Linked DNA regions of Arabidopsis thaliana. The protein of the gene in region 2 purifies or fractionates together with the protein of the main gene of each other region. This does not show direct contact. Each region holds a gene or a part of one and is shown on either strand. Other genes may lie near its edges.

Evidence for each region.
Region 1: the proteins of PSY1 (region 2) and TPST purify together in Arabidopsis thaliana (co-purification; one study listed by BioGRID). This does not show direct contact.

What each region holds. Positions count from the first base shown.
Region 1 is NC_003070.9:2,488,644-2,495,004, forward strand, and holds TPST (tyrosylprotein sulfotransferase), read right to left. Parts: upstream 4,685-6,361; 5' UTR 4,363-4,684; intron 4,326-4,362; exon of another isoform or gene 4,121-4,325; 5' UTR 4,099-4,120; coding exon 4,044-4,098; intron 3,948-4,043; coding exon 3,776-3,947; intron 3,691-3,775; coding exon 3,619-3,690; intron 3,326-3,618; coding exon 3,040-3,325; intron 2,932-3,039; coding exon 2,791-2,931; intron 2,712-2,790; coding exon 2,607-2,711; intron 2,515-2,606; coding exon 2,370-2,514; intron 1,784-2,369; coding exon 1,734-1,783; intron 1,647-1,733; coding exon 1,596-1,646; intron 1,524-1,595; coding exon 1,404-1,523; intron 1,316-1,403; coding exon 1,181-1,315; intron 1,103-1,180; coding exon 932-1,102; 3' UTR 766-931; downstream 1-765. Other genes in the region: AT1G08035 (uncharacterized protein), read left to right, coding at 6,129-6,361. UniProt on the Arabidopsis thaliana protein: Catalyzes the O-sulfation of tyrosine residues within acidic motifs of polypeptides.
Region 2 is NC_003076.8:23,698,892-23,701,941, forward strand, and holds PSY1 (plant peptide containing sulfated tyrosine 1), read right to left. Parts: upstream 1,336-3,050; 5' UTR 1,296-1,335; coding exon 1,208-1,295; intron 1,128-1,207; coding exon 988-1,127; 3' UTR 817-987; downstream 1-816. Other genes in the region: AT5G58640 (Selenoprotein, Rdx type), read left to right, coding at 112-430, 507-614; AT5G58660 (2-oxoglutarate (2OG) and Fe(II)-dependent oxygenase superfamily protein), read left to right, coding at 2,618-3,050.

The DNA.
Region 1 (6,361 bases), on a different chromosome or scaffold from region 2:
CTTGAGGGAAGGATGGTTGATAGATCTCGATCTCTAGCAATAATAATAGATAGTATCATGAATTGATGTATAATTTAATTTACGTAGCAAACAAATAAGTTGGGTTTAACATAATATACTAAAAACCTTTAGTATAATAGAGAGAGTCAAAGTGAAATGGAGAGATCACCGACGAAGGATTAAGAGACGAGAACCGAAATAATAATAATAATAAAGATGATTATGGCGTTTCCTCATGGGAAAGTGGGTCCCTTGCCTAACTCTTTGCTTCCATCTCCCACATGATATGTTTCATCCCTTTCACTTACTATCTTCCTCCCATCAATCAATTATTATTATTAGTATTTTTTATATAAAAAAAAATTAATATACACGATCTTCATATTTCTTTTCATTTTTTCTTCTTATATAGTTTATATGATTTTTTCTTCAAAATTTTTGACATATTATTGTTTACACTGCGTCGTTGATAAGAAAACAAATATCACGTGGGGGTATATTTACTGCTTTTGTACAATTTGTTTTATAGAGATTTGTATGAACTGTACTTTAAATTGCACACAGTCTGTTGCGTGAAAAATGGTACAGTCAAATTCAAACCAGTTAGTAGTGTACTTTCTCAAAAAAAAAAAAAAAAAAAAATTGTGAAATCTTATTACTTTTATCTTTATTGATTAAGCTCACTTAAACAAAAAAAAAAAAAGAAGCACTAATTTTGTGACTTTACCTGTTTTGTTTAGCCTTTTAAAATAAAGTAGATAGAGAGTTTTTTTTTACTTGTGATTTTCCCTTTTTCACCTGTAAGGTAAGGCAACACCCAAAACTTTTTCTTTTTCCACGAAAAGTAGAAAAAGAAAGAGAATAATATTACAAATTGGACCCCAAAAGCTTCTTCAAATTGCTGATTTGGTCCAAAATATAGTGACAATGATCAAATCTTAACTTTGGAGGTTCTTCTCCTTTTAGCGTTTACAAATAGAAAGAAGAGGACGATCAATAAAAGCATCAATGCCACTGGTACGAACTTCCATAGCTTCTCTTCACCCATTTCTCCCAATACGCTCTTTAACTCACTCGGCAGATCAACAATGCTTCTCTTAGACTGCACACGAATCATGGAGTTTAGTCTTATATCAGACAGAAACTAAAAGGCGAAATGTGAAGACAAGAAGTTTCTTACACTTGAGATCAACTTATTCGACACTAATTCATGTTCTTTGGCAAAGATTACTTTTGCATATTTGTAGAGCTCCACATCGAGGTTGTTAAGCGATTTGATCTGCTGAATGACCTCTTTAGGAACTCTTGTACGCGTCTGTTAGATGCATTGTCAAAAGATTTCATTATTCCAGCCTTCTCTCATTAACTTTACTAAGTTTAGATCATGTACGAAAACACTTTACCCCTCTTGTAAAATTTGCTGGAGTTATTCTCTTCAGAGAGTTGACCCGTCTGGTTCCTTGGGACTTTCGTAAATGAGTGATGCAGCCTTCATAGACTTCCATAAGGGTTTTTACCGTCATCTGAAGTGTATATATAAAAGTCACACAAGGTCTCAAGCGTTGATAATAAATTGGAAAAGGGATTCTACTTACATTCCCACTCTTAGCTTCTGCCTTATTCAATGTAACTTCAGATGTACCATTCTGTAATGTCACAGCCATTTTCAGCAAGACAATTACAAAAATGACAGTTGAACAAACAAATTATTACCTTCTGCAGCAGGACTTTACCTGAATATTACTCTTATCTGACCCGGTTTCTGAAATTGTGACACTTGCTTCTGAAGCATCAAGGAAATAAAGTTGACAATTTGGTGAGTGCAAGTACAACCATTTGTTATCCTGACTTTAAATACAACAAAAGCAATAGAAAGCCTAGGCTGTATGCACATGAACTGTCATATCATCATTCTACTTACTCTAAGAGACTATGATTAACCAACAAAGAAACTTTAATAAACCCAGGGACCCAGAGTAACAAGACACAAGTCTAAAACAAAAGAGGGCAAGAGAACCTTTAAAGATGATGTGACAACAAGAAACATAGATCAGAAAAATCTTCATGATGAAAGACAATCAAACCTTATACGATAATCCCCAAATAACAGAGAACAATAAGTAGCTTCCCTAGGTAATTAAAAATCAAACTCCTAAAAAGTGAATGAAAAATATCAGTCAAACATTTTAATGAATAATATGACGGGTTTTGACTTTCAAAAGCCAAAAACTAAAGTAAATACCATCTCCAAAGCGGTACTCTGAAAAAACTGTACACTGTGACTAAAAAAATGATCACCATGTCCTTCAACTAAGTTGCTAGATTCTCCTTAGATAGCCCAGCGATGGTATTAAGAAACTTACACCAACCTGATTTAAGAGCTTTGATTTTCGCAGTTGCATTGGACGGAACCACTTGAGACAGCACTTGAGAACCCACTACATTGGCAAAAAGTGATGCAGATTCCCTGTGCTCCTCTGTCAGTCCAACATACAACATGCTGTCTAGCCTCCTCTGCAAAATTTAAAAAAGCTTACAGAATCTGCTGCTTTTAAAAGCACAATACCAAGACGCAGTGAACTATGATGAAGAAGAAGTGTTACTACCTTGGCAACTTGGAGAACAGACTCACCAAGGCTTTTGAATTTCTGCACACAATGCCGAACCTCGTGTGCTTCTGATAAATGGGAGTTATTTGTCAATCCTGCAATCTGTGAAGTGAAATGAAAATGCTCTGGAGATCTCTAATCAATAACTTTGAAAACTTAAACAAATAGCATGAAAAAGTACCTGAAAAGTCGCTCCATTGTGGATGATGTCATGAGCAGTAGGCGCATCAAGATATTTGTGCAAAGGCATAAGCATCTCCTCCATGTCATACGGGTTATCGTCCTCAATGATCACTACCTCCTTCAATTTTCGTGCATCTCGCTAAGAAAAGCCAAGGATGAGTAAAAAAAGCTTCAGCCCAAGTTTTATGTGTTCTTATCATGTTCTAGCTTAAAAGCCAAAAAAGACGAATGGGATAGGTCGACATACCCGAGCAAACAAGTCTTCTCTCATCCATGGAACTAGGTATTTCCATGGCCATATGTCTAGTGTGCTTATTACATTACTCTTGCGTATGCGGCTAGACATCCTTGACGCAGAAGTTAAATTGGGATGCACCAAAAACCTAGCTGCTACCTCTACGGAAAATTCATAAGTGCTTAACACACGCGCAATAGGATCCCGAACTATTGTCATCACCGAAGTTCTCTCCCTCGGAAGCTTTGCCATCAAACTATAATCATCATGTGTGGCTAACAACTTGCACTTTTCCTTCCTATAAATTTACGAGTCAACACGATCTTAACTGTCCGAAGGTAGTAACACCACAGGCAAAATACTTTTTTCACATTGTTTTTCTTTAGGTAAAGGAGGCTAGGGAAAATTGATTTTCATATGAAACAATATTTAACTTTATATATGTCTAGCTAAGCTATCTAAAGTCAACTTAACAACCAATAGAATGTACAAACAGCATTCTGTAAGCCATCTTATTGTTTCCACAAGAAAGAGTCTTTGGCATCAAATAAAGACGTACAATTAGCGAGAGCACTGATGAAATTAAGATACCTTGGATTGAAGTGGAGCTTGTCGTAAGATCGAGGACATTCCTCAGAGCTATCATACAACTTCCTCAAAAAACTACAAGAGCACAAACACAGCCTTAACCACACAACAATCATAAAAGAATCTCTCAAAAACTTTTTGGTAAAGGAAATCAAATCACCAATGAAAATATGTTCTGCCTCCAGTTCGCGGAACGTGGAGAAAGAAGAGCAAATCCTTAAGCGAGCGTTTGTCTTTATTAACATGTTCTTCACGAGATGAAGAAGAATCAGCCCATTTTTTCACAAGAGTTTCGCAATGGCCAAAATCAAGTTCCGCAAAAGAGCCAATAACTGAGATATAATTTGCCAATTATTCCAAGAACATCAGAGACAAGTCCAGCTTTTTTATCAAATGAACAATTTTGTAAAACCATTCTGCATACATACCTGAGCTAAGAAGTAATAACCCAAGAGACAGCTTCCAAACAGAGTTCATTTGCATTGTGCCTCGATTCCAAACCCTACTGATTACCAAAACGATTATAAGTGAAAGAAGGATCAATCTTTATTCGAAAGAAACAAAACCCAGGAAGGGAAAAGAGTAGGTGATCAATCGGTGAGGATGAACATTAACGGTTGCAAGTTGTATAAAAACAAAACCGAAAGATTTTGGGGGAAGGAGACAGAGGAAAAACAGGGCAAAAGGGACCCAGAAAATCGAATAAAGAAAGGAACAAAGGAACAAGAGAGAGAAGCAGAGGCCTACGTGTATGGGGAATCGAGATCTCGTGCTCATAAATTCCCTCGATCGCTGTTTTGGGGGCAAAACTCGCTATCTACTAGGTCCTACGAAAACAAGGAAAAGATGTGTTTTTGTGTGTGTGTGTGATTACATCGATTGGAGGAGGAAGACGAAGAAGAAGAGAGATTGTGTGCGCTCCCGAGAGAACAGGGTCACGAGATTTTCTCTTGGTTTCTCGCCACCCAGAAAAATTATAAACACGCACTGAGGAAGACACTAGTGTCAAATTTGATTTAGCCAAACGAATTAATCTTTTTTGAGAGAGACCAATGCTTTTTTTTTTTTTTTTTTTCCACTAGTCAGTAATAGTATGAATGCACTTTCCTTTCTGGTTCGAGTGCGGTTTGACCAATGCCTTCTATATAATACAAAATGAAATACATAACCGGTTATCGGAACGAAAACCGAAATCGGTAAACCGTGGGTATACAACTATACATCCCCTCTTTGTGTAATATTTTGTTCTTCACTTCTTTTGGCCTTTTAGTTGCGTCTTGATCTTCTTGTTGCTTCTGGTGACATGTACATCCATCCCTCGTTGTGTGTGAAAGACCTCAAGGAGGAAACTTATAGTTACAGGATCATGGTTATGAGTTATGACTCATTTGTTCTTAGTCATTGCTTCAGTTCAATCATTCGTTCACAGATTTTTATGAGCATTAAAGTTTTCCGTTGAGATTTGAGAGTTCAATCCTGACAGTGGCCATACTTTATGCTTAAATGTTATAAGGCCTAAAGTCTAGAGTTTATTTGCTTTAAGTAAAAAGACCAGACTTGTCTACAAAAAAATGTTGTGGGTTCAAATGTCTCATGCTGATGGCGGATGCTGTCTCCTTTCAATCTTGTCATCGTTCCATTCGTTTTGCAATGACTTGTTTGTTTTCATCTATACAATAAAAATATCTGTTTTTTAATTTTTAATATAATTTGTTGCCATGTTTATTGTAATCCTAAAATATCAATAAATATGTATTTAACTAAAAATATATATAAATTCCTTTAGAGATAAATATTACCTCCATAGGTTTCCAATAAATAGCAAAGTAATTATACATTAACTAGTATGCTAGAATTCGTATAAATGGGTAATTATTGCCATTGGGATTGAAATGTCCTAAAATGAATTATTTTTTTAAAAAAGTTGGTGATGACAAAAAATCATCAAAGGTTGTAGATTTGAGAAATACAGTAGGATTAAAAATGCTTGGAAAATAAAATCTAGAAGGATAGTCGTAAACCTTTGTGTTAATCTTATGGTTTTAAAGAAGGTTTAAGATATTAATACAATTGGGCCTGATAATTAAATGGGCCTAGTGTCTTCTGTTTCTCCGCTTATCATTTTCTTAAGTTTATAAAAAATATTAAAATCGCAAAAAAAAAAAAAAAAAAAAAATTGCTGTCAAAGAAAAAAAGAAAAGATAAACAAAAAATTACAGACCTCATGAGTCAAAGGTATAGAGATTTTCTCACTCTTTTGAATCGTTTCTGAAAAAGTGCCATAACTCTAATAAATTCGATGATTTCGTATCATCTAATTTGTCGTGCAATCTTTTTGTCTTTTAGATTAGATTTTTTTTCTTTCATTAATGGCATCACGATATGCGACTAAATGTTTCTTCTCGAACTTAACGCAATTTGTGAAATAGCTTATTAGGGGTACTATTCAATAATCATGGATTTTAAACTCGTTGCTTCCTCTGGTTTCGTTTACAAGGGCTTTGTCTGAATGTATGGTTTTACTGTCTTTTTCCAGATATTGTGACACCATCACCATGGACTATGAAGAAAACTCCATTGAAGGAACATCAGGTTATGTGGAACCCATAACTCCTATGATCTCTAAAGGAGACAGTGGAATCATTGCAATTTCTCCACTCTGTGACCACTACAATAATCACATGAGGATTGATTCTCTTACTACTTGTTCCGATGAAGAAATCATTGAGTCTTTGTATCAAAACAT
Region 2 (3,050 bases):
ATGACATGACTTCTTTGGATACTGTTTTGAACTTCTCCGCAAAAGGCATAAGTAACTCTAGCTTTCTTTATCAGTGTGACTGGTGTTCATCCCAATTTTTTTAATTTGTAGGGGAACTGCAGTCACCATGAAGAAGATGTTAGAGACGGCTTTTCCCGGTTTAGATGTGATTCTCGCAAATTACCCACCACCAGCACCAAAACGCCTTCTAGCTAAGGTTGTGCCGGTTGTTCAGATGGGAGTTATTGGTATGATAGTTGCAGGTGATCGTATCCTTCCCATGATTGGAATTACGAACCCACCTGCTTGGTTCCACTCCTTGAGGGCCAACAGATTTGGATCCATGGCTTCCACTTGGCTTATCGGAAACTTTCTGCAGTCTTACCTTCAAAGCTCAGGCGCCTTTGAAGTTCACTGCAACGGCGAACCGGTTAGTAATTAATGGTTTAAGATTATTTCCAGATATGTAAGATCAGTTTGTACTAAATCCTGTGTTTCTATTTCAGGTGTTCTCTAAATTGAAAGAAGGTAGATTCCCAGGAGAGATCGAGCTGAGAGATCTCATCAGTAAAACTCTAACACGACCGAGCATACTCACAGGCAGCAGCTACTGAAGTAGTAGTATCAGAAGATAGAAACGCTGGAACCTTTCCGTGAAGTTCTCACAAGTATTTTTAATACGAGATGGTGGTACAATCTCATGTGCCAAAAGTGTCTTCTATGTTTCAGTTAATCTGTTGATGTAGCATACCTTGGTTTACCTAGAGTGAACTCTTTTGATTCAATCATTTTGCATAGACACAAATTGGAAAATAAGGTACAAAGTCATTGCCATAAGAAAAAAATAAATGAAGTTGTATGGAGATTACGAGAAAATATCTATATAGACAGATTAGAGAAAGCTATATGAACTGAGATTTAATCTCAGACAAACTGAAAATGTAAACAAGAAGAGTTCTTTCCTTCTGCGTTAACTAAAACATTACGTCAGCCTCTGCCGACGACACGTTGGCCGGTTGCTGACGGAGGAACGCCGGGGTCGTGCTTAGGATTTGCAGATGGGTCACCGTAGTCCTCAACGTTCACCATCAACAAACTCCTTTGGAATCCAGAATTCTCAAACCCACCTAATCCAAACGAAATCATTCAGACATAGAGAAAAACATGAACGAATCGAAGGAAGGAAACAAGAAGATGAGATTCGAACCTGAAACGGAAACAGGGTTGCGGGCTAGAGAAGATGTAATTGTAAGCGTCAATAAGAGACACACAAGAAGACGAACTACAAAAGTCATATCTCTCTGTCTGATATAATTAAAAGAATCTTAAAAATGCATCGGTTACAGATTCGTGTCCGTCTTATTTATAAAGAAACGACAACAAGTGTGTGTTTATCCAAACTGATTTTACTTGTCTCAAATCTCAATCAAATATATATACGTTTCTTATAATGCGGAGATGATGAAAACAGGTCAGAAGAGTAAGACCATGTAGATGACGACACGTGTCAGCTAAGAAGGCGGGAGTGGGAGGTGACGTGTGCAACGCGTGGTGCCACGTATGTCACATCAAGGCCAAGCAAGTGGAAGTGTGGAGGCACACAAGACAGTGATTGTCATTTTGTGCAAATCGTCAACGCTTATTACCAAATTTTAAGATCATTTTACCAATTTCTCCCACTCCCAAACTTTTTTGTTGACTTTTTTCTTTCTCTTTATGGGGTTTCCTCGAACTTCTCGCCAGAAAATAATAATTTATAGCTCACTCTCCTCACTGTTCTTTCTAAACGAGGACAAAACATGTTTACTACATTTCCAAAAGTCAAAATATGTTCATGAGACAGTTTTAACCAAAGTAAGTGAAATTCGTAATGAGATTGGTACTTCACCGATTATGCCTTACCATGCATTGTACTGCCCTCCAGTAATTGTATTTAGAAAAATCTTTTATTTTTAATGTAGTTGTATAATTTGCTACAAAGATTTTCCGTGGGTTCTATTGGGCTCCTTAAAACCTCATATTGGATCCGACTAATGGTGATTGGTGATACGCATCAAACATGCTCTCGTCAAATTGATAGATTTTTGGTTTCTGTTGGATGAATTCAAAATATATAAGAAGAAGTAGACAAGATTATTTACAATATAATACAGTACATATTTACTCTACATCTGCTTATATAATTTCGTTGTATAGCAGTATCGGTATAATTACGAATAAGTTCTTTTAATTTTCATTTAAAAACCAAAAAATGTTTTGATTAATTTAGAAAAATATTGAAACTTTACGAGAGATGGGCCGACAAGTAAGATTAAATGGTACACGTACCCACATCGCATGCAACTTGGTCTCTTCGTTTATACAGAATCTATGCCTTATTTGTGTTACAGACATAAATCCGTGACAAGTGACATCAATTCATTAGGGAATATTATATTATAAGGAGGTGTTGATCTATAGATATATATATTATGGAAAATTTATCATTTTTTGGAACGTAATCCTTTGTAACTAAATGCACCTATAGATACACATCAAACACTTCATTTGTTTTAAGTAATTTAATAGACTTTTTAAAGGATAAAATCGAAAGAGATCTCAAGAGAAATAGGGAGAGATGAGCATCAGTGAGTCATATCCACCGGCTTTCCGGCGTGTAACCAACGACGAAAATCCTCCAGCAACACCGGTTATTGTCCAGGGCAAGGATATCAATATCCCGGTTATCGATTTGGAACGTTTGGACAAGGAGATACTGAGAGAGGCATGCAAGGAGTGGGGAATATTCCGTCTAGAGAATCACGGAGTACCGTTGGCGTTAACGTCACGGCTTCAAGAAATCTCGGAGTCATTACTGAGTCTTCCGTTTGAGAAAAAACGGGAATTGTTCGCTGCCGTTAAATCTCCGTTATCGTATTTTTGGGGAACACCAGCTCTAAATCGTTCAGGAGATGCACTAAAGAGAGGAGCTCAAGCTTCGAACTTAACCATGCTCGAAGGTTTCAACGTTCCTCTCTCGTCTCTCTCGTCGCTCTCGAAGCTTCCAACTT